Macaca mulatta: one gene and its partners. The protein of the gene in region 2 interacts with the protein of the main gene of each other region in a pairwise test. Links are inferred from orthologs where the notes say so. Each region holds a gene or a part of one and is shown on either strand. Other genes may lie near its edges. The genes, in order: TSGA10IP, CCDC57 and PRAM1.

Evidence for each region.
Region 1: the proteins of CCDC57 (region 2) and TSGA10IP interact in binary tests that used the Homo sapiens proteins (3 or more experiments, as listed by UniProt). The two-hybrid records come from large-scale screens. The link is inferred for Macaca mulatta from reciprocal best matches to the Homo sapiens genes CCDC57 and TSGA10IP.
Region 3: the proteins of CCDC57 (region 2) and PRAM1 interact in binary tests that used the Homo sapiens proteins (3 or more experiments, as listed by UniProt). The two-hybrid records come from large-scale screens. The link is inferred for Macaca mulatta from reciprocal best matches to the Homo sapiens genes CCDC57 and PRAM1.

Annotation. Positions count from the first base shown.
Region 1 is NC_133419.1:8,470,821-8,478,587, reverse strand, and holds the start of TSGA10IP (testis-specific protein 10-interacting protein), read left to right. Parts: upstream 1-3,129; 5' UTR 3,130-3,325; coding exon 3,326-3,472; exon of another isoform or gene 3,473-3,516; intron 3,517-4,564; coding exon 4,565-4,701; intron 4,702-4,793; coding exon 4,794-5,518; intron 5,519-5,687; coding exon 5,688-5,835; intron 5,836-7,767.
Region 2 is NC_133421.1:91,827,033-91,834,027, forward strand, and holds part of CCDC57 (coiled-coil domain-containing protein 57), read right to left. Parts: intron 6,767-6,995; coding exon 6,645-6,766; intron 6,575-6,644; coding exon of another isoform or gene 6,545-6,574; exon of another isoform or gene 5,891-6,544; intron 2,835-5,890; coding exon 2,730-2,834; intron 2,153-2,729; coding exon 1,936-2,152; coding exon of another isoform or gene 1,736-1,935; exon of another isoform or gene 1,441-1,735; intron 1,238-1,440; exon of another isoform or gene 1,134-1,237; intron 95-1,133; exon of another isoform or gene 1-94. UniProt on the Homo sapiens protein: Pleiotropic regulator of centriole duplication, mitosis, and ciliogenesis. Critical interface between centrosome and microtubule-mediated cellular processes. Centriole duplication protein required for recruitment of CEP63, CEP152, and PLK4 to the centrosome.
Region 3 is NC_133424.1:9,354,117-9,361,660, reverse strand, and holds the start of PRAM1 (PML-RARA-regulated adapter molecule 1), read left to right. Parts: upstream 1-2,956; 5' UTR 2,957-3,117; coding exon 3,118-3,189; intron 3,190-3,395; coding exon 3,396-3,548; intron 3,549-4,162; exon of another isoform or gene 4,163-4,534; intron 4,535-5,666; exon of another isoform or gene 5,667-5,688; coding exon 5,689-6,054; intron 6,055-7,544. Other genes in the region: uncharacterized protein LOC114674096, read left to right, coding at 2,168-2,956. UniProt on the Homo sapiens protein: May be involved in myeloid differentiation. May be involved in integrin signaling in neutrophils. Binds to PtdIns(4)P.

The DNA of each region.
Region 1 (7,767 bases), on a different chromosome or scaffold from region 2:
CAAGGATGATACCAGCCAGTTGACCTGAGCAACGGGAATCTCAGACATGCCCCTGACTGGGATGAGGCAGGCCAGGAGTCTGACCTTCAACATGTCAAGTTGAAATGCTTATTTATCCAAGTGGGGATATCTGATGGGCCACTGGATATTTAAGTCTGGGAGAGGTCAGGCTGAGATATGCAAACTTGGGGACGGGTGGAAAACAGTAGATGCTGTTCTGGCGCAGTGGTTCATGCCTGTAATCCCAATGCTTTGGGAGGCTGAGGTGGGCCAGGAGTTCAAGACCAGCCTGGACAACATGGCAAAACCCCATCTCTACAAAAAAATACAAAAATTAGCCGGGCATGGTGGCGCGTAACTGTAGTCCCAGCTACTCGGGTGGCTGAGGCAGGAGGATCATTTGAGCCCAGGAGTTTGAGGCTGCAGCGAGCTGTAATGGCACCACTGCACTCCAGCCGGTGTGACAGAGTGAGACTCTGTCTCAGAAAGCAAGCAGCAGGTGGCTTTTAAGGCTGTCAGACTGGACGAGCTCACTTAGGGAGGGAGTGTGGTTGAGGAAAGAGGTCTGTATGCACCTCCTGAGAATATCAACCTGAGAAACCCTTGCCCTCTGCCAAGGAAGAAAGTGGCCCAGAATTCTGGACTGCCCAGGAAATTAGCTGGGTTGAGGTCTGGAAGGGGCTCCGTTTCTGAAAGTGGAGCCGCCTACATGTGCCTTCCGCTGGGCCCCAGGTGTGGGAGAAGGATGGCAGCCCCCTAGAAAGAACAGAGTTTGCATATTTTGGATGGCAAAACAGCTTTGCCTAGAGCAGCGCTATTTAGGATATTTACATTGGATGCGCTCATTGTGAGGCGCTACTGGGATGGAGTCTGAGAGCAGAAGAGGGGCCACAGGGCCACGGTCTGAGAAAAATCCTGCCTCTACGGCATCTTCCAGGATAACCTGCTTCCCTGGGGCCACATCATTGATTAATTAAAAACAGCAACACGGCCCGGGGCAGTGGCTCACGCCTGTTATCCCAGCACTTTGGGAGGCCAAGGCGGGTGGATCACTTGAGGTCAGGAGTTCAAGACCAGCCTGGCCAACATGGTGAAACCCTCTCTCTACCAAGAATACAAAAAATTAGCCGGGCATGGTGGCATATTCCTGTAATCCTAGTTACCCGGGAGGCTGAGGTGGGAGAATTGCTTGAACCCAGGAGGCGGAGGTTGCAGTGAGCTGAGATCACGTCACTGCACTCCAGCCTGGGCAACAGAGCAAGACTCCATCGCAAAAAAAAAAAAAGATAATAAGAATAACAGCAACGCTAGCATAGCAGTTCCCATGAGCCATGAGGATGTTCTGTTTGTATCTGCATAGTGATTTAATCCCTACCACTACCCTGGGAGTAGATATGATTATAACCAGCCCCCGATTGCCTATGCGAAAACAGGCACCAAGAGGGTACAGGACAAGTGGAGGAGCTGGAATTTGCACCCAAGTGCTTCCTCTGTGCTCTTAGCCATGATGCTCTGCTGCCTCAAAAGAATGGTCAGCTAGTGTTAGTAATAATAATAACATTTACCGATTTCATCGTTTGGGGTTTCATGTAGTCCTTGCAACAAACCTATGAGCTGGGCCCGTGATTCCAGTTTTGCAGAGTGAGGAGTTGGTCACAGAGCTAGTGAGAGGCCACACCAGGCCTCCAGCCCAGCTGGTCCGTCTCTAGGGCCTCAGTTCAGTACCATATCCCTGTACTGCAGGCCTCAGTGGTCAGCACCAGGCGTCCCATGGGGACTTAAGATTCCAAGGCTTTTGAGCACTGCTTAGAAGTTTGGGGTAAGATCTTTTAATTTTTTTTTTTTTTTTTTTTTTGAGACGGAGTCTCACGCTGTTGCCCAGGCTGGAGTGCAGTGGCGCGATCTTGGCTCACTGCAAGCTCCGCCTCCTGGGTTCACGCCATTCTCCTGCCTCAGCCTCCTGAGTAGCTGGGACTACAGGCGCCCGCCACCGCGCCCGGCTAATTTTTTGTATTTTTAGTAGAGACGGGGTTTCACTGTGGTCTCGATCTCCTGACCCTGTGATCCGCCCGCCTCGGCCTCCCAAAGTGCTGGGATTACAGGCTTGAGCCACCGCGCCCGGCCTTAATTTTTTTATATTAAAAAAATATATATTTTTGAAATGGAGTCTCACTCTTTTGCCCAGGCTGGCGGCTCACTGCAACCTCCGCCTCCCAGGTTCAAGAGATTCTCGTGCTTCAGCCTCCCGAGTAGCTGGGATTACAGATGCCCACTACCACACCCAGCTAATTTTTGTATTTTTAGTGAGATGGAGTTTCAGTCCAGGTGGGAGATGGAGTTTCACCATGTTGACCAGAGTGGTCTCGAACTCCGGACCTCAGGCACTCCACCTACCTCGGCCTCCCAAAGTGCTGGGATTATAGCCACCGCCTGGCCTGGGGTAAGCGTTCAATGTTTTAACTCCCTCCAGAACCTCATGGCCTATGAAGATGGCTAGGTGGGCCTGGGCCCAGGCTCTGAATGGCCTGCTGCCTCTCTCCTGGACACAGCGTTCGACTTCCTGGCTGGGGCTGGGAGTGCAAAGATTTGTTTATTTGTTTATTTTTTCTTGAGGCAGAGTCTCATTCTGTCGCCCTGGCTGGAGTGCAGTGGTGCAATCTGGGCTTGATGCAGCCTCTGCCTCCCGGGATCAAGCGATTCTTGTGCCTCAGCCTCCTGAGTAGCTGGGATTACAGGTATGTGCCACCATGCCTGGCTAATTTTTTTTGCATTTTTGGTAGAGATGGGGTTTTGCCATTTTGGCCAGGCTGGTCTTGAACTCCTGGCCTCGAGTGATCCACCTGCCTCAGCCCCCTAGAGTGCTGGGATTACAGGCATGAGCCACCGCTCCCAACCTGGGAGTGCAAGGATTGAAATAAAATCTTGTGAAAAATCTTGTGAATCAAGTCCCTGAAGGAGCCATATCTCAGTTTGGCTCCTTCAGGGACTTTGCCGGGCCTGGGGGGCAGCACAGGAGACAGACTGACTCCCCTGTACAGATGGATGGGGAAACACAGGTGGAGTGGGGACAGAGGACTTACACCAGGTTACATGGGGAGCCTGTGGATGAGGCAGGAGCAGAGGCAGGACTTGGGCCTGGGTCTCTGCACTGAACGACTCCTGGGCACCCTGCTGAGCTCTCCCTTAGAAGGAGATTGGCCTCACATACCCCACTGACCCCTTCCTAGTATGCTTTTTGCCAGACCCCCTGAGACTGGCTGAGGACTGGTTGCCATAGAGATGGCCTGTTGGGCAGTTCCACGGTGGGGATGGGGGATGGGGCAGGATGGGGCAGGACACCAATATGCTAAATACCTACCAACAGTTGGTTAGGACCCCGTTGGCACGACCAGGGCAGGACATGCGGCTTCAGGCTCCAGGAACCAGCACTGGGCTGCTCAAGCTGCTGTCGACCATCTCTCAGGACAAGCAGGTGAGGTAGGCCCAGTGGGGGCACTTCCAGCTGCCCAGAGCCAGGTGGGCTGCCTTGGGTCAGGGAGGCCTGGGCTGGGGAGGCCCTTGAGAAGCCACGAGACCTGAGCTGAGATCCAGGTGAAAGTCAGGGAGGCAGGAGTGGGACAGGGACCACATGGAGGCCTAAAGGTCTTGGGAGAAGCTGAGGGATGACGCCTGGGGGTGACTCCCCGGGATGATGGGGTGATTCAGGGAACACTGTGGGAGGAGCAGCGTTTCAGGAAAGATTAAGACCACCTGGATGAAAATCACCTTGGTTTCTGCCTTGGCTGTAGCAGGTCCAGGGCCCAGTGGGACATTTGGGAGTGCAGTCCAGGGCCCAGAAGCGGCCTAGTGCAATGGTAACAAATCTGGGCTCCACCACTTCCCAGCTGTGTGACCTCAGTTACTCAGCCTCTCTGAGCCTCAGCTTTCTCCTCCAAGTGATGGGGGTGATAATGAGTACCAGCCTCCTAGGGTCCTTGGGAAGGTGTGTTTATGCATGAAAGTCCTGAACACACAGTAGGTGCTCAGCAGGTGGTGGCTGTTGCTATTTTAATATGCAGAATGGAGGTGGTGTTCGGTCGGGTTTTTTTGTTTTGTTTTGTTTTTTGTTTTTTTGAGACTGAGTTTTGCTCTTTTTGCCCAGGCTGGAATGCAATGACGCAATCTCAGCTCACTGCAGCCTCCACTTCCCAGGTGCAAGCGATTCTCCTGCCTCAGCCTCCCAAGTAGCTGGGATTACAGGTGCAGGCCACCATACCCAGCTAATTTTTTTTTTTTTTTTTTTTTTTTGTATTTTTAGTAGAGACGGGGTTTCACCATGTTGGCCAAGCTGGTCTCAAACTCCTGGCCTCAGGTGATCCGCCCCCCTTGGCCTCCCAAAGTGCTGGGATTACAGGCGTGAGCACCGCACCCTGCCCTGTTTGGTTGGTTTTTACGGTAACGAGGGCCCAGAGGGGCCCAGCCAGGCCCAGCCAGGTGCACAGAAGAGGAGGGCACCCGGGTGAGGTGCAACACAGTCCAGGAGGCTGCTTGAGCTGGCTGCTCCTCCCCTAATGTCTCTGCCCAGGGCCGCCTGGGGAGTGGTGATGGTGTGCCAAATCAGGACCTGCAGTGGAGGTCTCAGAGCTCAAGGCAGACAGCAAAGAAGGACCGCAAGCCCAGGGGCCAGAGCAAGAAAGGACAGGGCTCTGAAGAGGCTGAAGAGTAAGGAGCAGTGGGATGGGTCAGGAGGGTGCTGGGGGTCAGGGCCCTCTGGGGGCTGGTGCCGACCCTGACCCCACCCTGTCCTTTCTCAGTCTCTTCCGCCTTCCTCCTCGGAAGCCCTCCTTCCCCTTCCAGTGGGCCTGGGAGAGCATCGCCACAGATGTCCGGGCTGTGCTTCAGCCAAGTTCCCCAACCCCAGGCCACCAAGCCCTGCCCATGCCCTCCTCATCCTCCCAGCGCCAGTCCAGGCGCAAGTCCACGGCCAACCTCCCAGAGGCCTATGGCTGCTGCCGGAAGACAGAGGTGCAAAACCTGAAGGCGAGACAACAGCTGGGAGCCTGGGGTGGTGTCTCCATCCCTCCTGGCAAAGGGGAGCTAGGACCGGAGACCCCCAGTGAGTGTGGCCTCCAGCCGCCTGGGAGGAGGCCAGGATCAGGATCGGCGTCCGACAAGCAGGTCCAGCTGCTAGGCCCGGGTGCTGAGGAGGCTGAGAGGGGTCTGAGTTCTGGGGAGCCGCCCCAGCGCCCCAGGAGGGGGTCCATCTCAGAGGAGGAGCAATTCTCAGAGGCCACAGAGGAGGCTGAGGAGGGAGAGCACAGGGCTCCCTGCAGAAGGAGGGCTGGTTGTCAGAAAAAGGGGCAGATTTCCGGAGAGGAGGCCTCGGATGAAGGGGAACTGCAGGGCCAGAGCCAGGGGAGCAGGCCTAGCTTCAACAACCTCCAAAGGCCACAGAGGAGGAAGACAAGGGCCAGGGAGCTGCAGGGGCCATGGGACCTGGAGAAGCTGCACAGGCAGCTACAGAGAGACCTGGATTGTGGTGAGCGTGCGACTCGGGGCCCGGGTTCCCCCGAAGCTACACTGTGGGGAATAGGGAGCAGTCAGGGAGGCTGGGCTCAGGCAGGCTGGGCTGTGCTCTGGGTGCTGCGGGGATTGCCCAGCGGCCTGGGAGAGAGAGGCAGCCCCTGACTTGGTCCCACTGTGGGCAGGCCCCCAAAAGCAGCCCTGGAAGGCTTTGAGGGCTGCCTTCCAGGCCTCCAAGCAGAATGGAAAGGCCTATGCCTCGGAAGACGATGAAACTTTCCCGTCTGCCAACCTCCCCAATCGCACCTTCCACAAACGACAGGAAGCCACCAGGTAAGAGGGAAGAGAAGGGAGTGGGAGCCCATGGTGAGAAGTAGAGATGGAGCTGGTTCTCCAAGAGATGCTTAGGCATTTGAACTCTCATTCCTTTATTTATCCATTCACCAAACTTTTGGATCATCCATCCGTCCATCCATCCATCCATCCATTCATCCATCCATCCATCCATCCAACTACTGGTAACATCCACTCAACCATTCACCCATCTCTCTGAATACCTGGCCAATTGTCTACTGATACAGCCACTTTTATTTCCCATCTTTTCTTCTATCCATCCATTAAACTATTAACTAAGTGATTAATCCAACATTTATTATATACTCCTGGGCCCTTAGGATGTAACTATTAAAAGACTTGGAATTAGCTGGACATGGTGACACATGCTTGTAGTCCCAGCTACTCAGCAGGCTGGGGTAGGAGGATCTCTTGAGCTCAGGAGATCAAGACTGCAGTGAGCTATGATCCAGCCACTGCACTCAGCATGGGCAACAGAGTGAAACACTGTCTCTAAAAAATAAGTTAAGGGGCCGGGCGCGATGGCTCACGCCTATAATCCTAGCACTTTGGAAGGCCAAGGCGTGCAGATTGTCTGAGTTCAAGAGTTTGAGACCAGCCTGGGCAACATGGTGAAACCCTGTCTCTACTGAAAATATAAAAAAATTATCCAAGTATGGTGGTGCGTGCTTGGAGTCCCAGCTACTCAGGAGGCTGGGACATGAGAGTCACTTGAACCTGGGAGGTGGAGGTTGCAGTGAGCCGAGATTGCACCACTGCACTCCAGCCTGGGTGACAGAGTGAGACTCTGTCTCAAATGAACAAACAAACAAACAAAAAACCCAGTCTGGTCAACATAGCGAGACCCCTGTGTCTACAAAGGAAAAAAAGATTAGCCTGGCTTGGTGGAAAGCGCCTGTAGCCCCAGCTACTCTAGAGGCTGAGTCAGGAGGATCTCTTGAGCCCAGGAGTTCAAGGCTGCAGTGAGTCATGATCACATCACTGCATTCTAGTCTGAACAACAGAGCAAGATTCTGTTTCTAAAGCAAAGGAGATAGTGGGAGCTGAAGGGGAGACTGGAGGCCGTGAGGAGACTGTTGGCAACACTGAGGTGAGGAACCATAGGCCCTGAACAAGGAGGCCCTGTGGATGGAGGGAGGGGATCCATTTAAGAGACACTTAGGCCGGGCGCGGTGGCTCAAGCCTGTAATCCCAGCACTTTGGGAGGCCGAGACGGGCGGATCACAAGGTCAGGAGATCGAGACCATCCTGGCTAACACGGCGAAACCCCGTCTCTACTAAAAACACAAAAAATTAGCCGGGCGAGGTGGCGGCGCCTGTGATCCCAGCTACTCGGGAGGCTGAGGCAGGAGAATGGCGGGAACCCGGGAGGCGGAGCTTGCAGTGAGCTGAGATCTGGCCACTGCACTCCAGCCTGGGCGACAGAGCGAGACTCCGTCTCAAAAAAAAAAAAAAAAAAGAGACACTTAGAGGCTGGTTCGATAGGCCTTGGTGACTGGTGACAGGTGGCATGTGAGGGCAGGGGAGAGTTCATTCAGCATTTTTTTTTTTTTTTGAGACAGAGTCTTGCTCTGTTGCCCAGGCTGGAGTGCAGTGGTGTGATCTCCACTCACTGCAAGCTCCGCCTCCCGGGTTCACGCCATTCTCCTGCCTCAGCCTCCCATGTAGCTGGGACTACAGGCGCCCGCCACTGCGCCCAGCTAATTTTTTTTTTTTTTGTATTTTTAGTAGAGACGGGGTTTCACCGGGTTAGCCAGGATGGTCTCGATCTCCTGACCTCGTGATCCGCCCATCTCGGCCTCCCAAAGTGCTGGGATTACAGGCATGAACCACCGCACCCGGCCTCATTCAGCATTCTTATGCACCCCACAATTCTTTTTTTTTTTTTGAGACAGAGTCTTACTGTGTCAC
Region 2 (6,995 bases):
TTACAGGCGTGAGCCACTGCCTCCAGCCCTCTCTCTACTAAATTTAAAAAGAAAGAAAAAAGAAAAAACAAATACATGCAAATAACCAAGAAAATTCTGAGAGAGAAGGGTAAAGAGGAGATCCTAGATCAGCCAGACAGGTAAAAGGACCAGGAAGTGACACTGATTCCGACCCGATGGAACTGCCTGTGAACAGACTGACTGCGGCTGAACGAACCGTCCGGATACAGCCCCAAACGCACATGGAACATTTAGCATCATAACAAAGGCGGGAGTCCAAATACGCAGGAAGCATGAGCAATGGAAAACTGGGAGCCATTGCCATTGGGGGTTAATAAGAAGGGATTCTGGCCGGGAGCGGTGGCTCACTCCTGTAATCCCAGCACTCTGGGAGTCCGAGGCGGGCAGATCACAAGGTCAGGAGTTTGAGACCAGCCAGGCCAACATGGTGAAACCCCATCTCTACTAAAAATACAAAATTAGCCTGGAGCGGTGGCGGGTGCCACTACTCGGGAGGCTGAGGCAGGAGAATCACTTGAACCCGGGAGGCGGAGGTTGCAGTGAGCTGAGATCACACCATTGCACTCCAGCCTGGGCAACAAGAGCAAAACTCTGTCTCAAAGGAAAAAAAAAAAAAAAAAAAAACCAGAAAAGATAAAAAACAAGGACATTAAATTACACAAAAATAAAAAATATGAACATAAAAAAACACCACACGAAACATTTAAAAATATGAAGAACTGGGAGAAAACATTTGCACTGCTATCACCAAAAAGGCCGAATTTCTCTCACATATAACGAGCTGCTACAAATCAGTAAGACAGACGACAATCTAATATACAGAGGAGCAGAGAACTGAAGAACAGGAAAAGGAAGTAACTCCTAAACACACACGAAGAGGCACGACCTCCTAACAGAGGCGCTGATTCCAACCCTGCCTGCCACCGGCAAAAGCTCCGTGTGGCTCCACGACTCTCAGACGCTGCTGCTGGGGGCAGCCTCCGGGTGGGCAGCGGAGGCTGAGGCGATGGTGTCCACCACACGTGGTGTGCAGGCAGCCTCGACTAAGCAAGCCGGGGCACTTACACGTGTATTTTCACACACTGCAGCCTGTAAGGTTTCTATTCTAACAGTATCTGTGATGGCAAAGGACTGGAAACAGCCTACAATGCGCATGAAGGAGAGAATGCTTAAATGAATGCGGCACGTCCTCATGATGGAAGACAGAAGCTGCAAGGTAAGAAGGGGACGCCCTCCACGCAGGCACACAGGACGGACGCGTGCTCCCGCCCCAACACATCGCACGTCCCACCACTCTAGCTGCTTCGAAGCAGCATCCGTCTCTCTCCACCCTTCTTCCCACGTCATGGACCCATGCAGTCCCCACAAGGTGCACCCTTCAAATAGACCTTCCTGAAAACATCCTGAGACCATTCGCAGGAGCTGGCACTGTGACCTGCTGAGTTTACCAGGCCTATGACTTAGGTGCACAGCAGAGTCTCAGGGGGATGATGTCTGTGCAGCAAAGCAGGATGAGGACAAGGATGCGGCGTGACGCTTGTCTGGCCCCCGAGGCTGAGCATCACTGGGGTTGGCCTGGCTCTTCCCCGGGAGCCGGGCTGTCTAAAGTGTACCAACGCCTGCGCGTCTCACCTAGAACGTGGACGTTCCATTCTATGTCAGCACGCACCCGGGTGTACAGTGCTGCGCTAGGAGGTGGCATGGTTTCTGCCCTTCAGGGCTTTGCACCATAACCTGGGAAACACTCAGGTGCCAAATGAGAGGTAAGGAGACTCCGTGCATTACTCAACCAAAGTGCAGGGATTTCAGGGTGTGGGAGGCATGCAGGGTGCTGACTCTCCACATGCCCCTCGGAGAGGGTGGCCCCCACCAGCTGCCAGCTGTGGGCAGCTCCTGGGGAGGGCAGTCTCCTACCTGGAGTTGAGTCACCCTGGGAGGTGAGGCCAGAAGGGCTGGATCCCAGGTCTAGCAACCTCCAAGTGTCCTGGAGGGCGCCACTGGCAAGGGAGGAGGAGCTGTGGGATTGGCGGCCATGCTCCTCAGGGCGCTTGGGAGCCTGGGGTGGCTTTGGGGACCTGCCTTCTTTCTGCCGAGGTGATTTACAGGTCACCGTGTGGATGCTGCGTTGTGTCTAGAAAAGACATCATCGTCTTGAAAGCCACCCTCTCCAACCCAGAGGAAGCCACAGGACTCCCCCAGCCACTCCCCTGGAAGCAGTAAGGAGACAGTGGGCCTGGCTCAAAGGCCCAGGCAGATGCTCCCAGGACCACCCAGGAGAGGGAGCTGCAGACAGGGGTGCATCTGGGGAGTGAGTCTCAGCGCTGGGAACGCCGAGTGTGAGCAGGGCCTGAATCTCAGTGCTCATCTCAACAAACGACAAAACACGTCTAGGGCAGAGGCTGCCCCGTTTCGATGGGGAATGAGTTGAAATGCAGGGCAGATACCCTGAGGGGCACAGCAACGAACGGCCAGCGTGGGCCCCGTGTGCTTTAGGGGTCCTGGGGCCCTCCCAACACCTTTACCGCCCTTGTGGGACCACCCAGCAAACGCTCTGCAGCTCACCCTGCCATTGCGAGCAGCCCCTGGCCATGGCACAAAGGCAGGTGCAGAGCGAAGGCCCCACCGAGAGGCCCAGAGGGCCCAGACCCTAGCTTCCCTGCCGGCCACACCCCACGCAGCCGCACCGGCACAGGCACTGCCACTCTCACCTTCGGGCCTCGCAGGGCATCAAATCTGCTGCCCACCTGTGCTGGGCGGGGCCGGTGCTTTCCCAAGGGTCCCAAAGGACACTCCTCCTCGGCACTCTTGGCGTCCTGCCGTGGGGATTTACACGAGAGGACTCTGGTATTCACATTCACTGATGGTGTGTGTCCGTGAGTCTTCCCACAAGATTGGGAAGGAATGCCTCCCCACATTTCTGGTATTAAAGACTCACATCATTTGGTGACAGCCTAGACTGAAGGGACCTGTTTCCCAGACAGGATGAATGGAGCAGGCTTCCCCAATCATTCATTCCCAGGAGCCTCCTCTGCAAGGCCAGGGCAGCCTGTGCATGGCCTGCCTGGGGTGAGAGCCCCCTGGCCCAAGATGGGCACAAGTGGCCCCCAGTGATACCGCCTGGCTGATTCTGCTGCTTCTTTTTGTTTTGAGATGGAGTCTCACTCTGTCACCCAGACTAGAGTGCAGTGGCGCGATCTCAGCTCACTGCAACCTCCACCTCCTGGGTTCAAGCGATTCTCCTGCCTCAGCCTCCCAAGTAGCTGGGATGACAGGCGCCCGGCACCACGTTTGGCTAGTTTTTGTATTTTTAGTAAAGATGGGGTTTTACCATGTTGGTCAGGCTGGTCTTGAACTCCTGACCTCAGGTGATCTGCCCGTCTCAGCCTCCCAAAGTGCTGGGATCACTGATGTGAGCCACCATGCCCGGCCACTTATTTTCTGGGGGTAGGGGGGTGGAGAGACAGAGTCTCACTCTGTCGCCCAGGCTGGAGTACAATGGCACCATCTCGGCTCACTGCAGCCTCTGCCTCCCGGGTTCAAGTGATTCTCCTGGCCCAGCTTCCTGAGTAGCTGGGATTACGGGCACCTGCCACCACGCCTGGCTAATTTTTTGTATTTTTGGTAGAGATGAGGGTTTGTCATGTTGCCCAGGCTGGTCTCGAACTCCTGACCTCATGTGATCCATCTGTCTTGGCCTCCCAAAGTGCTGGGATTACAGGTGTGAGCCACTGGGCCCAAACATCGGCCACATTTTTTTAAAAGAAAAATAAATTTAGGCCGGGTGTGTTAGCTCATGCCTGTAATCCCAGCACTTTGGGAGGCCGAGACAGGTGGATCACTTGAAGTCAGGAGTTCGAGACCAGCTTGGTCAATACGGCAAAACCTCGTCTCTACAAAAATACAAAAATTAACTGTGTGTGGTGGTGTGTGCCTGTAGTCCCAGCTGCTCAGAAGGCTGAGGCAGGAGAATCACTTGAACCTGGGAGGCAGAGGTTGCAGTGAGCTGAGATGGTGCCATTGCACTCCAGCCTGGGTGACAGAGTGAGACTCCATCTCATAATGAATAAATAAATAAAATAAATACAGGCCGGGCCTGGTAGCTCATGCCTGTAATCCCAGCATTTGGGAGGCAGAGGTGGGCAAATTGCTTCAGTACAGGAGTTCGAGACCAGCCTGAGTGACACAGTGAAACCCTGTCTCTATTAAAAGAAAAAAAAAAAAGCCAGGCGTGGTGGTGTGCGCCTGTAGTCCCAGCTACTCGGGAGGCTGAGGTGGAAAGATCACTTGAGCCTGGGAGATGGAAATTGCAATGAGCCGACATTGTGCCACTGCACTCCAGCCTGGGCGACAGAGCAAGACACTGTCTCAAATATAAATAAATAAATTTTAAAAAGAAATAAAAAAGGAAACAAAAAGGGTCTTGGCTCCATAGAGGTTTCTTTTCTCAGTTTTAAGAGTTATTTCTCGGCCGGGCGCGGTGGCTCAAGCCTGTCATCCCAGCACTTTGGGAGGCTGAGGCGGGAGGGTCACTTGAGTTCAGGAATTCTAGGCCAGCCTAGGCAACATGGCGAAAACCTATCTCTATAAAAAATACAAAAATTAAGGCCGGGCGTGGGGGCGGGCGCCTGTAATCCCAGCTACTTGGGAGGCTGAGGCAGGAGAATTGCTTGAATCTGGGAGGCAGAGGTTGCAGTGAGCCCAAATTGTGCCACTACACTCCAGCCTTGGGTGACAGAGCGAGACTCCGTTCAAAAAAAAAAAAAAAAAAAAGAAAGGACAGCCAAGAAAATTTTGTAAAGGAACAGAAAGAAATAAGGTCAAGCTTGCTCTAAGAGAGATTAAAATATGTCACAAAGCCACAGTATTTAAAGCAGTATAGCACCATTTCAGGAACAGACAACTCATTGGAACTGGGTAGAAAACCCCAAAATCGATGCAGAAGCTGAACTTCTCAAGGCTGCAGCATCAGACAGATCCATAGTCTACAAGACACTGACGGATTTTTCAAAAAGACACAGAAAGGCGGAGGGAGTGTCTGGGTGAAAGGATAAAAACACAAGAGCCAGATGCAGCAGGAATTCTGGGCTCTGAGGTTACGGAAAACCAGCAAGGAACACACAGAAATCACCCACAGAAGAAGAACTACAAATGGCCAATAAATAGATTAAAAGCATTTAATGCCACTAAGGACATAAGAAACGTCTGTCTTTGTTTTTTTGGTAGAGACAGCGTCTCACTGTGTTGCTCCGGCTGGTCTTGATCTCCTGGGCTCAGCTAGTCCTCTCACCTCAGCCTTCTGAGTCTGGGGTTACGAGGTGTGCGCCACCACACATGGGTAATTTATTTTTATTTTTATTTTTCTGTAGAGACAGTCTTGCTGTTTTGTGTTTTTTTTGAGACGGAGTCTTGCCCTGTCATCCAGGCTGGAGTGCAGTGGTACGATCTCGGCTCATTGCAGCCTCTCCCTCCCGGGTTCAAGCGATTCTCCTGCCTCAGCTTCCTGAGTAGCTGGGATTACAGGCGCCCGCCACCACGCCCGGCTAATTTTTGTATTTTTAGTAGAAATGGGGTTTCACCATGTTGGTCAGGCTGGTCTCAAACTCTTGACCTCATGATCCACCCACCTCTGCCTCCCAAAGTGCTGGGATTATGGGCATGAGCCACCCCACCCAGCCATCTTGCTATCTTTTAAAAGATACGAGTTGTGGCTGGGTGCACTGACTCATGCCCATAATCCCAGTACTTTGAGAGGCCGTGGTGGGCAGATTGCTTGAGCCCAGGAGTTCAAGACCAGCTTGGGTAACATGGCAAAACTCCATTTCTACCAAAAAAAAAAAAAAAATTAGCCATTAGGGATAGTGGCGCACACCTGTGGTCCCAGCTACTTGGGAGGCTGAGGTGGGAGGATCATTTGAGCCTAGGAAGTCGAGGCTGCAGTGAGCTGTGATGGCAGCACAGCACTCTAGCCTGGGTGACAGAGCCACATCCTGTCTCAAAAAAAAAAAAAAAGATAGAAGTTTTTGGGTTTTTTTTTCACTTATCATACTGGTAAAGATTTAAAAAATAGTACCCAGATATGTAAAGTTATAGTAAAACATATACATGATACAATTTATAATTAAAAAATAAAAAAAACGGGGGTTGGGTGCCGTGGCTTACACCTGTAATCCCAGCACTTTGGGAGGCAGAGGCAGGTAGATCACCTGAGGTCAGGGGTTTGAAACCAGCCTGGCCAACATGGTAAAACCCCATCTCTACTAAAAATACAAAAATTAGCCATGCATGGTAGCATGCGCCTGTAATCCCAGCTACTCGGGAGGCTGAGGCAGGAGAATTGCTGGACCCCGGGAGGGGGAGATTGCAGTGAGCCGAGATTGCACCATTGCACTCCAGCCTGGGCAACAGAGCAAGACTCCGACTCAAAAAACAAACAAACAAACCAACCCCCCAAAACAAAGCCCAGCAGAAAACACACTGAAATGTTACTGGTAACTATGTCTGGATGCTGAAAATTGGAGGCCTTTTATATTGTGTTTATCGTAATTTGAAGTTTCTGTAATGAAAACACAACACAATTAGGGAAATATTTTTTAAAATGCATGTCTTAGATGAAAGAGTGTTACCTGAGCTGTAAAATGGGGCTGCACCTGTCCCAAAGGTGGGCTGCGATCCAAAGGCCTCCTGGGCTCCTCGCCTGGCTTCCGGGCCTCAGGGGCAGGAGGGAGGGTATGGTGCGGCGGCCGCCCTGGGAATGGGATGGGGACAGGGTTTGTTGTCTGTACATCACTTCTGGATTCCTCTTGTGCTGAGTGCACTCAGAAAGAACAGCATGTTCCTTTTCGAAACCAAAGTAACTTCCATTTCACAGTGAACTTAGGGAGGGGCGGACAACAGTGAACTGTGACACACAGCATTTCGGCAGAGCTCTTGCACACACAATGCCACGCCCCTGCCACATACAGCCCTTGCTGTCC
Region 3 (7,544 bases), on a different chromosome or scaffold from region 2:
CCCTCCTGGGTATGGAAGTCCCAGGTGATGTCCACAACCACCCCTTGGAGGCTGGTTTTACCTCCATGATTCCTCTCCCTTCTATCCTCATCTCGCCAGCCCCAGGGTCCCCTAGCCCACCCCCTACTCTCCCCAACCTGCCCTTCCCCCAAGACTGACAATGGTCTCCTCTTTTTCCTTTTTTTTTTTGGGGGGGGGAGACAGAGTCTTGCTCTGTCACTGAAGTGCAGTGGCACGCTCTCGGCTCTCACTGCAACCTCCGCCTTCTGGATTCAAACGATTCTCCTGACTCAGACTCCAAGTAACTGGGATTACGGGCGCCTGCCATCACCCCTGCCTAACTTTTTGTGTTTTTAGTAGCGACGAGGTTTCAACATGTTGGCCAGGCTGGTCTCGAACTCCTGACCTCAGGTGATCCACCCACCTTGGTCTCCCGAAGTACTGGGATTACAAGTGTGAGCCACCACACCCTGCCAGGGTCTCTTCTGATTGTTCCCCTCTCCTGCCCAGCACCCTTCAGTGGCTTCCCACAGCCCTGTCGATGAAGATCCTGTTCTCCCAGTAGCCCAGGGACCTCCTTCACCCCAGTCCACCTGTCTCAATCTTTACCTCCTCCTCTTTCTCCATTCTCTAAATCCACTTCGGGGTCCCCCTCACCTCCTCATCCTGGCATCTGCAGCCAAGACACCAGTGACCCCTGGACGGGGCCCCCGGACCCCACTCCTCCGTCACTGCCCTCCTACCTACTTCTTGCCCCCCAACACCTTCCTTGTCGTCTTCCTCAGATTGTTTTTTTTTTTTTTTTTTTGAGACCGAGTCTCGCACTGTAGCCCAGGCTGGAGTGCAGTGACGCCATCTCGACTCACTGCAACCTCCACCTCCCAGGTTCACGCCATTCTCCTGCCTCACCCTCCCGAGTAGCTGAGATTACAGGTGCCATCCACCATGCCTGGCTAATTTTTTTGTATTTTCAGTAGAGATGGGGTTTCAGCATGTTGGCCAGGCTGGTCTCGAACTCATGACCTCAGCTGATCCACCTGCCTTGGCCTCCCAAAGTGCTGGGATTACAGGCGTGAGTCACCACACCTATCTTCCTTGGACTTTTCATCCACCACCGTGTCCACCTCAGGCTCTGAGTCAAAGCCATCCAGGTAAACAAGCCAAGGGCCACCTGCCCCACACCTGCTCAGTGCCATGTCACCTCAAAGATGGACAGCTCTGGGCTCCGGAAGCCCTTCAGCCACTGCAAGGGGCAGGAGGGGATCCTCAGGCCCTTAGGACCCGTCTGTGTGCCCCACTGCCCACAGCCTCACCAGGGGCCTGAAGACTGCCCTGTCCTTGATGGGGCTGTGATGTGATGGGGCTGCAGCCTCAGCTCACGTGGCTTGGGCTGGGTGTCCACTCTCCCAGCACCCCTAGGCCCCAGCTGAGGTCGCTGTCACTCAGGATGGGGTTGGACAGGCCATCAGGAGGCCCCGGGGCTCCAAGGCCCCCTAAGCTCCCCCTTCTCGGCCAGAAGCCTTGAAACCACCACTGTGGGACCCTGGAAAAGACTCGACCTCCCCGCCTCCCAATTCCCTCGTCCTTAAAAGGGTGTCATGATGACGGGTGAGCCCTTTGGGGTGGATGGGAGGATGAAAAGAGAGGCTGCGGGGAGAGGAGGGACTTGGGAAATGTCTGCCGAGAACTTCACATCCCGAGCCCATGGCTGCCTGGGGAGGAGGGTGGGACAGGTGAAGGGGCCCGTTTTACAGATACATAGAGAAGGTGAGGCTAGGAGGCCTCTAGCGAGCGCCAGTTCCAAGTCAGGGCCACTGATTCTGCACCATCTTGGGAGCTGCGCACAGTTACCACGGGATGAGGAAACCCTGGCAGCAGGTCCAGAGGACACGCCCCTGTTCCCGCACTCTGGAGGTCTCTAGATCTGGCTGTAGTCCAAGCCTATCCCCCATCTCCAGGAATAGCGCTGTGTTCTCTGTCCCCCAGGCCCCTAACCCCTCTCCAGGGTCCCGGAGGCCAGCAGGAGTCTTCGTCCCCATCAGTTTCCTCATTCGGCCACCCCCAGATCTAGCCCACGCTACTTCCCAGTCTGTCACTATCTTTCCAGAGAGACCCAGAGCCGACACCTCCGTCCAGGGACCTCTCCCTTACCCCGTCGCCCACGGAGATGGGACAGCCCTTCCTGTGTGTACAGTGGGCCCACGGTCATCACACTGCCCTCTGGAGTGAACTGACTGCCCCGAGGCCTGGGGAGCTGGATCACCACCTGGCTTCCGCCGTTCACCCTGTCCACTACAAAAACGACCTCCTACCCTCAAACCGGCTCCCAACCCCCATGCACAGGAACCCAGTCCTCTTGGGCCCCGGCTCCGCCCAGCAGGGGGCGCCCAGGAGTCTCAGACTCGGGGGAATGAAAGCCGGGAGCGCAGTGCAGATAGCAGGCAGGTTGGCTGGAAGCCGCGGGCTCGTGCTGAACAGCTCTGAGGCCGGCCAGAGGCCCGTGCACCGCCCGGCATTTGTCCAGCCCCAGCTGTCATCTGCAGGTGCCGGTCCGGTTACCCTCACCGCGGGCCGGGAGCAGGGAGGAGGAAAGCGCCCCGCGGCCCTGGAATCCGCCGCGCACGTGCTCCCCGGGCTCCTCCCCCTGCGCACACTTGTTCCGGTTTCCGACCGCAGAGTCCCGGAGCCGCGCCCTAACGAACTCTCACTGCCCCTGGTCCGGGCTTGCTTCTCTGGGATTCCAGAGCCCTATCGGTCCCTATCTGCGGCCGTGCAGCGCGGAACCCTGCCGGGAGCCCCTACGGAGGCGCCAAATACACAAAGGGGAGTTGGTGGGGAGGCGCACCATGACGACCGCGCCGGGACCTGCGCGTCACCCCCACGGCGCCCCCGTGGTGCCTTGGTGCGCGCGCCCTGTCTGGACCCTCCTAGCTGCGAGAGTGCACGGGCAGTGTGACCGACCCAGGCACCTGGGAATCCATCAGCTGTCATCCAATCCCTTAATTACCTTGATTGAGCACCTACTGTGGCCAAGAATTGCTTTATTTATTTATTTATATTTATTTATTATTATTTATTTGAGACGGAGTCCCGCCCTGTCACCCAGGCTGGAGTGCAATGGCACAATCTCAGCTCACTGCAACCTCCGCCTCCCCGGGTGCAAGCAGTTCTCCCGCCTCACCCTCGCAGGTAGCTGGGATTACAGGTGTGCACAAACACGCCCAGCTAATTTTTATATTTTTAGTAGAGACAGGGTTTCACCATGTTGGCCAGTCTGCTCTCGAACTCCTGACCTCAGGTGATCCGCCCGCCTGGCCTCCCGAAGTTCTGGGATTACAGGCGTGAGCCACCGGGCCCGGCCACTTGTTCTTTCATTCTTTCCTTCACTTACCCAGGTTCTGGAGACCCACGGAGGGCCCATACTGTCCTCCCGAGACTCCCGTTTGGGAGGGCAACCCACATCTGGCAACTGTGACCCTGGACCGGATGCAAAGGCACAACAGAGATGGCAAGATGGCAGAATCATGATGTCTGTGCTCTTAAAGGAGGTGTGAAAACAAACAGGCAGGCCAGGCGCGGTGACTCACGCCTGTAATCCCAGCACTTTGGGAGGTCCAGGCGGGTAGATCACTTGAGGTCCGGAGTTTGAGACCAGCCTGGTCAATGGTGAAACCCCATCTCTACTAAAAATCCAGAAAATTAGCCAGGCATGTTGGTGGACACCTGTAATCCCAGCCACTTGAACCCGGGAGGCAGACTGGGTGACAGAGCAGGACTTTGTCTCAAAAACAATTAAAAAATTTAAAAAAACTTGCTCAGGCCACACCTCAGACTGATTAAGTCAGAGTTTCTTGGAGGTTCTGTTTTTTGGGGTTTTTTTTAGATGGAGTTTCGCTCTGTCACCTAGACTGGAGTGCAGTGGCGCCATCTCGGCTCACTGCAACCTCTGCCTCCCCGGTTCAAGCAATTCTCCTGCCGCAGTCTCCCGAGTAGCCAGGATTATAGGCATGTGCCACCATGCTGAGCTAATTTTTGTATTTTTAGTAGAGACATGGTTTCTCTATGTTGTCCAGACTGGTCTTAAACTCCCGACCTCAGGTGATCCGCCTGCCTCAACCTCCCAAAGTGCTCATATTACAGGCATGAGCTACCTCGCTCAGCCTTTTTTTTTTTTTTTTTACTGTGGCTCTTGATTGATTGATTGAGATTGGGTCTTGCTCTGTCATCCAGGCTGGAGTGCAGCGGTGTGATCATAGCTCACTGCAGCCTCTGCTTCCTGGGCTCAAACAATCCTCCCACCCCAGCCTCCCAAGCAGCTGAGACCACAGGCGCGTACCATCACACCTGGCTAATATTTTCTTTTTTTTTTTGAGACAGAGTCTGGCTCTGTCGCCCAGGCTGGAGTGCAGTAGCGCGATCTCTGCTCACTGTAAGCTCCGCCTCCTGGGTTCACGCCATTCTCCTGACTCAGCCTCCCAAGTAGCTGGGACTACAGGCGTCTGCCACCACACCCAGCTAATTTTTTGTATTTTTAGTAGAGATGGAGTTTCACCGTGTTAGCCAGGATAGTCTTGATCTCCTAACTTCGTGATCCACCCACTTTGGCCTCCCAAAGTGCTGGGATTACAGGCGTGAGCCACCGCGCCCGGTCACACCTGACTAATTTTTTATGTTTTTTGTATAGATGGAGTCTTGCTATGTTGCTCAAGCTGGTCTTGAACTCCTGGGCTGAAGGGATCATCCTGCCTCAGCCTCCCAAAGTGTTAGGATTACAGACATGAGCCACCATGCCCGGCCCAGGTGCAAGGCCTTTGACACTACTCACCCCCCAACCCCCAAATCTGCCATACCAGCTGAGCTTTCTGCACAGGGTGGCAGCCCTGGGAGGAATGAAATGAGGAAGGCGGATGAGCCAACCGGGGCAGATAGTAGAGGCCTCACCCGGTCACATGGGCCCCCACGTCCTGGGTCTCTGGGCCTCCCCAGGAGCCTCCTAAACCCCAGAGCTGTCCGTACCCCTGACCTGCTGAGATCTCCCCATCCTGTGGCTCTCCAGCCCAGGAGATCACCAGCGCCTGGCATGGAGTCCTCCCTGGAGTCCAGAGATGGGGACACCAAAGTGGTGGGAATGACGGGGACTACAGAGAGTAAGAAACTAGTTAGTTGGTCAGGTGGATCACGCCTGTAATCCCAGCACTTTGGGAGGCCAAGGCGGGCAGATCACTTGAGGTTGGGAGTTCAAGACTAGCCTGACCAACATGGTGAACCCTCATCTCTACTAAAAATACAAAAAATTAGCCAGGCATGGTGGTGCTTGCCTGTAATTCCAGCTACTCAAGAGACTGAGGCAGGAGAATTGCTTGAACCTGTGAGGCGGAGGTTGCAGTGAGCCAAGATTACACCACTGCACTCCAGTCTGAGCAACAGAGTGAGACTCTGTCTCAAATAAAAAAAAAAAAAAGAAACTAGTGACCATGTTAGGAACATGCAGGCAACCAATGCCCCAAGCTTGGGACAGTAGCAGGCAGGCCAGGAATTCAAGGGAAATAGAAGTGCCCAGGAGGGGCCAGGCGCAGTGGCTCACGCCTGTAATCCCAGCACTTTGGGAGGCCGAGGCGGACTGATCCCTTGAGGTCAGGAGTTTGAGACCAGCCTGCCCAACACAGTGAAACCTCTTCTCTACTAAAGATACAAAACGTAGCCAGGAGTGGTGGTGCGTGCCTATCATCGCAGCTACACAGGAGGTTGATACAAGAGAATTGCCTGAACCCGGGAGGCAGAGGTTGCAGTGAGCCGAGATGGCACCATGGCACTCCAGCCTGGGCGACAGAGCGAGACTCAGTCTCAAAAAAAAAGAAGTGGCTGGCAGGATCTGGAGACAGATTGGAGCCTCCCCACCTCCTTCCCTTCCTCCTCTGCCCTCCCCCGCCCCACCTCCAGCAGCCCCCACCCTGTGTGCTGGCCGTGGAGCAGAAGCCACAGTCACTTCCTGAAGGCAGCGGCCCCAGCTCGGGTCCCACTCATCCCGTGGCCCATCACCTGCCTGCAGCCATGGTGAGTACGGGGAGAGGCCTGTGCCTCGATAGCCGGGAAGCAAGGGACACAGGTGTTCCCTGGAGGATAGGATCCACCTGTGGAGGGGCAGGGGGGACTGCGAAAGACATCTGGGAAACGGGAAGGGTCGGCAAAAAGGACCCGAGGTAGGAGGCCGCCAGGCACACCCCAGGACAGCACAGGCTCCTGGGGGTTCAGGCTCAGATTGGGACTGCGAGGGGGACAGATGGGACTACCCGGGGGGACGTCTCCCGTCTCCCTAGGTCAACATGAGCAGCAATGTGGGAACGGGCAGCTGGGGTGAGAGCAGTGCTTTCCTGTGGGGTGACAAAGTGGGTCATGGCCCTCCCCCGACCAGTCACCCAAGTTGTGACCTGCTAACCCTGACTTATCTAGCCTTGTGGTCACCCGGGAGCACTTCCTTCAAACCACTGGGGGCTTCGGCAGGGGCACTTCAGGCCCCCGCTGGGAATCGCTGCCTTTTCAAGGAGCACTCCTGGTCTCTGGTCCTCTGGATGGGGAAAGTGAGGTACACACAGGAGGTAAAGGCCACACGCTTCTGCCCTTGCCCTCCCCCAGTCTCCTCGACCACAGGTGAAGGGGGCGTTTGTAGGGCCAAGGAGGCCTGGCCTGCTTGTGAATCTGCCTACATCTGTGGGCAGTGGTTGCAGGGCCAGCTAGGAGGGCAGCCGGGACAGCTGGGCGTGCAGGAGACGGCACATGTGCCAACGGTGTCCGCACCGGTCCTCTCACGCACTGTCAACTGTGAGCATTCCTGACCATCAGCCCGCATGTCGGAGACGGTGTGAGAGGGACCGCATAGCCGTCTCCAGGCGTCTCTGTGTTTTCCTGATGGTCAGTCTGAGTACGTGACTGTCTTTGTGCCGCCTAAATATTGTTTCGTTCAGCAAATATTTACTGAGCACCTACTATGTTCCAGGCCCTGGGAAGATAGCAATGAATGAATGAGCCAAGTCTCTGCCTTGCAGAGGCTGAGGAACTGGGGGAAGTTGCAGTATAGAGAGACAAAAAAAAAAAAAAATTTTTTCAAGACACATTAAAAGCAATGTAAAATAGTATGATACATGGGGTCGGTACGATGGGGAAAATCATGTATGCTGACTGCACAGGGCAGTAGTGGGATGGGGTGATCCATTTAAAATAGGGTGGTCTAGGCCAGGTGTGATGGCTCATGCCTTGCAATCCCAGCACTTTGGGAGGCTGAGGTGGGCGGATCACTTGAGGTCAGGAGTTTGAGACCAGCCTGGCCAACATGGTAAAACCCCGTCTCCATTAAAAATACAAAAAAAATTAGCCGGGCGTCGTGGCAGACACCTGTGATCCCAGCTACTCAGGACACTGAGGCAGGAGAATCGCTTGAACCCAGGAGGCGGAGGTTGCAGTGAGTTGAGATTTCGCCACTGCACTCCAACCTGGGGACAGAGTGAGACTCCGTCTTAAAAAAAAAAAAAAAAAGAAAAGAAAAAAGA